Linked DNA regions of Drosophila melanogaster. The protein of the gene in region 2 interacts with the protein of the main gene of each other region in a pairwise test. Each region holds a gene or a part of one and is shown on either strand. Other genes may lie near its edges. The genes, in order: psidin and CG4194.

Region 1 (3,926 bases), on a different chromosome or scaffold from region 2:
CCCGCCAGTTTCCCAGCTCCTTGAGCAGCTCGAACTTCATGCTGACTGGAGCACCGGGGTACAGCTTCGCGCACAGCTCACCAGTAAGGAATTCCCACGCCTCCTGGTACTTGTTTTGTAGCTTAAGTATGTGCAGATAGAGGAAGGCCTCCTGTTCCGTCTCCATTTTGCCCTCCTTGATGTGCTTGTCGACCATGCGTTGCGCCAGTCCCAAGTAGATTTTCCGCTTCTCGGGCAGCGCCGATTCCGGTCCACGGATTCCCTGGAAGACTACGCTGATCACCGACCAAAAGTAGTAGGCATTTTTCGGCTGCGCCTTGTACAGCTGCAGGGCCACCGCCTGCTGCGCCTTGTAGTCCTCCACCCTCACATGTGAGATGAAGAGGTGGGCGAGGAGCTCCTCGTTGCCCGGATTCTGCTTCACAGCGTGCTGGTACAGCTCCACAATTTTGTCCACTGCAAAGAGGCCGATATTTATATATTATTAGCGATTTCAACTTTCGCAGGTACAGGTATCTATATATTCAGATCGTTGGCACGCACTTGCCACTCGTCGTCCGACTAAGAGAATGCGATTTTAATTAGTCGGGCGAGGTGCGCGTGCCAAGAAAATACGAAAATATGAATTGTGGCCACTTCGTGTGCGTAGCAGGGGCGTCTCTAGGGGATTCACAGATGTGGCTAAGAAACATTCTTACTTAAAAATGTTGCTTTGTATTCGTCAATCGAATTTAAAAAAGCTCAACAAATTGTATCCTTTGATCGACCATGGTTTCGTATTTAAATAACTTAAGTAAATATTAATATTATCTTTAAATCTATACTTTAAAATATTTTGTATATACATATACATACATATACAAGCATTTAACTCATGGATAAGGAAGCTATTCTTTTTATAAAATTTCAATTCTAGAATGCCTGTAACCTTTACACATTTGAAAGGAGAAATCTAAATCCTTAATTATTATCTATACATACAATGAGTCCTTGCCTCACACAGGCATTTCGTTTTTAGATTTAAAATTGGATATTAACTTACAAAAGGTTCTTCATAACTTAAAAGTGTGCTTCACAAGTCAAATTCATAAATGAAACTAATAATTTATAGCCTATCAGGAGCTACTTGTGAACAAATTAGTTATTTCTGATGGCTGGTGCCCTTCTTCATCGCGTTAGAACGAGAGACTAGGTTCGTGCTTTAAGAGTTTATGGCTAGTTGGTTATATCATACTCCTAAATAACTTCTACTTGAGGTAATGTACCTCCTAGACCATGCTTAGTACGTTATCAATCTTGCATTTGACTGAACCTAATCCCCAGCAAACGGTGGCTCCACGTGGGCTCAGTACATCAGCCCTGCCGGTGGTTTACCCATACGTACGTTGTTCCATTTCGCGGTAGCAGAAGGACAGCACCTGCAGCGTGGAGTCGTCCGTGGGCTTCTCCTCGGCAACGGTCTGGAGGCATCCGTGGCTTTCGTCATAGCGTCCCAGTCGCAGGAGCGAGAGGCCTTTCAATGCCCGCGCGCAGAGCAGGTTGGGATGTTTGCGTAGCAACTTCTCGGATTCCTGCAGAGCCTTGCGATTGTTGCCCACCTCCAGGTTGTCTGCAAAGGATTGGGATGTTAGTCTGTGAGACTGTGGACCCGGCACATGGAGCGCCTCATTCCGCCGTGGACACGGACAACACACTCACCGTATACCGGCCGCAGTCGCCGCTCGAACAGGGCCGAGTCCATGCCCTGCTGCTGTGCCATGTTATCGTGTTATGTGGTGCTGCTGTATGCTGCTAACCTAATTACAACGTGCTGCATGCACCTCGAACTGAGACTCGCTCTCTTTTGGGTTTTGCGGCACGCTGTCGTCTGCCGTTGATTAATTTCCTGCAATCGTTTGGGGGCTCTCCTTGGGTTGCCCTCGGTGTTTGGGCGGTCGGGGACGGGCGGCTGGCTCTCGGGCACTCGAATCACACGGTCGTAGGCTAATTATGTGCTTATTTTCATAGAAACTAGTGACTTTAAATTTTATTCAAAATAAAAAAAACCTCAGACTGCATATTCGGTGAGAAGAGAGCGGCCCCTGTATTTTCTCCAGTATTTTCTGGTATTTTTCGAGAAGAGCATGCCGACATTAGGGGTCTTCGCTCAAATCACAAATTTAAGCCATCAAGATACTCTTATTGGGAAACTTTTAAAATTCCATTCAATCATTCTGCTTAGAATTTTAAGGTTAGAATATGTCTTGTACAAAAGTGAATTTCTAATAGTAGTTTTTAGTAATTTTGTTATTATCTATGATCAACAAAGTATTGATATTCTTCAAAAAGTAGAAATGTTCATAACTGTAATTCTTTATATTTCAGATTAAGTTTTCAAAAAAAACTTAAGATTTTATAAAAACAGTGACAAGAGTACCCCTACCGCTGGGCACTTTGTCCAACAGCTGAGCGATAGAGATGGACTGATATATTCTCACGAATGGTAGCTTGCCAGCGAACGATGAATGGCAGAAAAGAGTTTATCAATTTATTCGAGTGCCAATTAGATAATTTAAGCTTTGTAGTTGCACGGCGCACCGGACAGGTTGATTAGAAATCGTGAATGAGTCAGCGTGAGTCACGCACCTGCCACGCACCACGCCAGTTGCCCATCTCTAGCTGCTGCCCCCGAAAGTCGAAAACGCGTAAAGTTTTCGAATAAAATGCAGAGATTAGCCGATTAGGCGGCGCGCGGGCTCGTAACCAAACGTTTTGAAGTATTAAACTACCGATTAAGAAACACATCCACTTAGTGAAATAGTTTAAGTAACCGCCCGAGCACCGTTATCGCCGCTTTTCCGCTTTTCCTCGCTGCCAAATTGCGCTGCATGTCCATTTTTGGTGAAGAATTTCTCGCCAAAAATCTTGCCCTTGGCCGGACGCAATGAGCGATGAGATTTAACTGGCTGAGCGAGTACGTGGCCAGCATATCAAGCAGCATTGCATCGACATCCCCGTGGCGCCAACTGCAGCAGCAGGTGCAGCAGCTCGTCCCCAATCCTCAGGCCATCTACTGCCGTATCAGGTCATCATCCGCCGAAGCACTGGAGCACGTACTGATCGCCTGTGCGGTGTACTTGCTAGTATGCCTGGGCCTCTACAAGCTCACCTTCTGGCTCTCGGGAGCCGGATCGGGATCGGGACTGGACGCCCACCACAACGGCAACGACACCAGCAATGCCGGGTCGGGCGAGGGGGCAGAGCTGAACCCAAGTTCGGATGGCAATCGGAGTCCTGGCGGCCTGAAGCAGGCCCTTCAGTCCGGAATACGGCTGCGTAGCGTCCGGCTGCCCAAAACGGCGTGCATGGAGCGCGTCCTGCTGATCACCGCCCATCCGGATGACGAGTGCATGTTCTTCGGACCGCTGATCTACTCGCTGACGCAGCGCCAAGGCTGCCAGGTGTATATACTCTGCTTGTCCAACGGTGAGACCACCAGCAGTGACATCATCCCCAAACCACCAATAGATCTGGAAGCATTAAACGAAAGTACACATTTCGAAATCAGTAGCGAATCTGACTTAGCTTTATTGCTGCCATATGGGCACAGCATTCTCTTTGTGTTAGCCAACAATCGATTTCGTGCAATATATGTAGTCCGTATTGGAATTTTTAATAATCTTTAAATGTTATATATTCCTGCCCATTCTACTGTTATTATTTTAATTATTGCAAAGATTCAGGGGCTACACCGATGTTATCTTTTTATAGATAATAAAAAATAATACCGAGCTGATAGTAATGTAGGGCCGATTTGTATATTTCTTTCTTTAAAATTTAGATATTCATTTAAAAATCAACTATTAATCCTTTCAATATAATAACGTACTGATTCGGAATAATTGTATGACTTCTTAATCATCAATTACTATTTAAGTTTCGCTAAA
Region 2 (3,535 bases):
AGCTCGGCAAACTGGGCCACAATCGGATCCCGGCCGCACGAAGCCACCGCTGTCACCGTATCCGCCTCGTTGATGAAGTAGGCCACAAACTTAAAGTCCTCCATGCTGCCGTCAATGATCACATCCTTGTAAGAGCCATGCCCGGCATACCGAATTCCCTTGCCGAAGATGAGGGTGAAAAAGAAGGGCACGGCCTCCAGCTTCTTTACCCCGCCGCACATGTTGATGGCCGCCACTCGTCCATGGTATTGAGCCAGCTGGTAATGCCCGATGTTCACGCGATCGTGGGCCAGCCCGTGAATGTGGGCGTTTGCTATATCACCGCCCACATACACATCGGGTACATTGGACTCCAGGAAATCAGTGACGTCCACGGATCCGTTACGATTTACCTTCACGCCCGACTTGGCCAGAAATTGGGTGTTGAGCTTGGAGCCAGTGCCCAAGATCAGCAGATCGCAAGGCAGACGCGTGTCATCTACCAGCACCACCTCTGATACCTTGCCGTCTTCGTTGCCAACGATCTCGGCGATGCCGCTCTCCATGCGCATGACCACCTTGTTGTCCTCGAACAGCTGGAGCACCCTCTGACCAATCTCCGCGCCGAATGCGGCCTTAAGTGGGACGTTTTCACGACCCACAACCGTGACGCTTTGCACTTTGGAGACCAACCCAGCAGCTGCCTCCAAGGCGATAAAGCTCGATCCCAGACAGACGACGCGGGACTCCGGGGTGATCGATGCCAATATCGCCTTTGTATCCGCCAACTCTCGGACAGTGCGGACGTTCTCCAAGTTAACACCGGGAATAGGCGGCCGGAAGGCGGAGCAGCCTGTGGCCAGGTAGATTTTATCGTACTTCACCACGTAGCCATTGCTGCAGTGCAGCTCTTTCTGAGCGGTATCCAACTTCTCGGCGGCGACTCCTTGCCACAGTTCGATATCGTACTCTTTGTAGAACTCCTCGTCGCGGAACCGCAGCTGCTCGATCTCAAGGTTCATAGCCTTGGAGATCTTAACGCGATCGTAGGGCAGATAGTCTTCGCGGCACACAAAGATTAGGCGCCCAGTAAAGCCCTCCTGTCGGATGGTTTCCACGGCTACAGCGCCAGAAGGACCACCGCCAACCACGATGAACACTCGCTGATCGTCGGGCTTGCGTCGGACCATGTTCTTGAGTCGCTTGTTATTCACCAGATCCGATCGCTTTGCACGGAGCATCACCTGTCCCTCGTTACCCACTTCCACGCGATAACATGGCAGGGAATCGAGACCAGGAAAGTCCTCAATGTCTCCGTTTTCCAGGTTAAAGCAAGCGCCGTGCCAAGGACAGCGGACACGACCCAAACCCAAAGCTCCAGTCTGGAGCGGAGCTCCGTAATGGGTGCACTTAGCACCCACTGCTAGCAGACGATCGTTCTGCTTCACGAGCAGCACGCGGGTGTCCTCATCGAAGTCCACCTGCTTCATTTCGTTCTCCTTCAGATCCGTAACTCTGCAGTCCACGGGGACCGCACTTGTGTACTCCGAATCCGGCGAAGACTCTTCCGTCGACATGGTTGTACTGGGACTCTGGTTGCTGCACTTGGACTGGTAGGAACCCACGGCACCACCTGCCGAAGCCATCATGTAAAGAGACAAGCAAAGAGAAACGGAGATAACAATACAGATAAGAAGAGTGTGTAGGTGAATGGACACATCAAAATTTTCCAGTTTTTCTCCAAGGGTCCAAGGGAAATTCTGGCACCGCTTGCTGCTCAGGTAGAAACAACAAAAAACGAATATCAGTCGAGAAAATGCTTCGCTCGCGTTCAGAAGTCTTTGTGTGTTTGCTTATGATCCTGGGATCAGTTCTGGTCCGTTCGAATCTTGGGAATCCTCAGGAACTGGAGCTAAGTGCGCTGCGCACCCACAAACAGCTATTGCAGGCGGAGATCGCACGTCTTTTTTTAGAGCAGCCGCTTCGAGCGGAAACTCAACTTCTGCTGGAAGATCTACAGCTAAGAGATCATCAAATAGGCGTTCAGATAGAAAAGCTCGAGGAAATCTCCAAGGGCGAGACCACGCAGAGGCTGGCCATCAATCTAACGGCTGACTTTGAACACCTGCAGCATAAATTGGATGATTTGAAACGACAACTTGAGCTGCTCGACGGACGCTTTGCCTCCCAAGGGAAGCAACTGGAAGGACACTCGTCGGAAGGCGCATCGCCGGCTGGCCCCGGATTAGGTTCCTTTTTGTGGGGACCCTTGCTGACCATGCCAGAGTTTCCACAGGGCAGTGTGGCCAGCGACCAGCAACATAACCACCACCAGCAGGATCATTCCCCGGATCCGCAGCAGGATTCCAGTCCCTCTATCATTAAAAGAGTGCTGGACATGCTTAGGCCATCCATAGGAGTATCAGGTCTGCGGAGTCGTTGGACTGAATCCGCAAAATCAGCTGCAACGGGCTTGGCAACACCTAAGCCCACTCACCCACTTAGTGCTGAGGAGCTCCTACCGCAGCTGCAGGAGCAGCGCAGGTTTCTGGACGATGCTATTACGCGACTGGAGCTCTTGGCCGTCAAGAAGGGCTCGAACAAAAACTAAAATATGTGGAAAATCTAAGTAAATCAAACACTTAAATCCATCTATCCAAAAGTTGAGCTTTGAGATTAAACAGAGGATCAATATTTATTTACTTAAATTGCCAGAGATCATCATTCATAACCAGATTCGTTGAGTCACTGTCAAAAATTCAGAGAAATTATACTATACCAAATAAGTAAAGTTCGTTTCATAATGATTTGTGACCATTTCCGAAAACAATTGAACTAAAATTAGATTGAACAGTCACCTTAATGAAAAGTCTAAAGCAATAAATACTAACTATCTTTAAAACCATGATATGTAATTGTAAAATTGTGTGTGTCAGGGCACTTATTTTAAGCAACACCGAGGATAGGGTAGCAGCTGCCTAATTGCCATCGATGGTTACCTGACCACAACAAAGCGGATCCTAGCGACAAGTCCGAATCGATTGACTCATCCGACCTACTGCAATGTCACGTCAACTAGGCATACCTAAGAACCTCAAGTTGCTACGTCATCAAGAAAAGCCAGGCGGTGAGGAAAACACCTATTGTATAAAGCGTAACCGTAACACCTGTAAACGTGTGTCGGTTCTGTTCTGATATGGCGATAATGTCTACACGCCCCTATCTCAAGTGACTGGCTTTATGATGTATGGTAATATGGTATCGCTGGTATATGTATCGCCGATATGCCCATGATAGAGGAGCTGATGATTCGGCTTTTTGCGGACGGAGGCGTGCTGATCGGAAATCAAACATTTCCATCGAAGCAGCAAACATGAAAAACAGCAAGTCATGAATTACCCAGCGAAACAGATGTAGGGACAACTTTTCCATCGAGTCGGTTAACTTCGACCCTGCACTGTACATTTGCCAATCTCTTTCAGTTCTCTCATCTAATTAGCAATGATTCGCCATGTTAATAACACAGCTGCGTTTTCCACACACACACGGACGCGTA

Evidence for each region.
Region 1: the proteins of CG4194 (region 2) and psidin interact in a two-hybrid assay, tested with the Drosophila melanogaster proteins (one large-scale study listed by BioGRID).

What each region holds. Positions count from the first base shown.
Region 1 is NT_033777.3:20,019,887-20,023,812, reverse strand, and holds the start of psidin (phagocyte signaling impaired), read right to left. Parts: upstream 2,110-3,926; 5' UTR 1,760-2,109; coding exon 1,699-1,759; intron 1,610-1,698; coding exon 1,385-1,609; intron 457-1,384; coding exon 1-456. Other genes in the region: PIG-L (phosphatidylinositol glycan anchor biosynthesis class L), read left to right, coding at 2,931-3,465.
Region 2 is NC_004354.4:2,066,812-2,070,346, forward strand, and holds CG4194 (uncharacterized protein), read left to right. Parts: upstream 1-1,780; 5' UTR 1,781-1,795; coding exon 1,796-2,590; 3' UTR 2,591-2,877; downstream 2,878-3,535. Other genes in the region: CG4199 (uncharacterized protein), read right to left, coding at 1-1,612.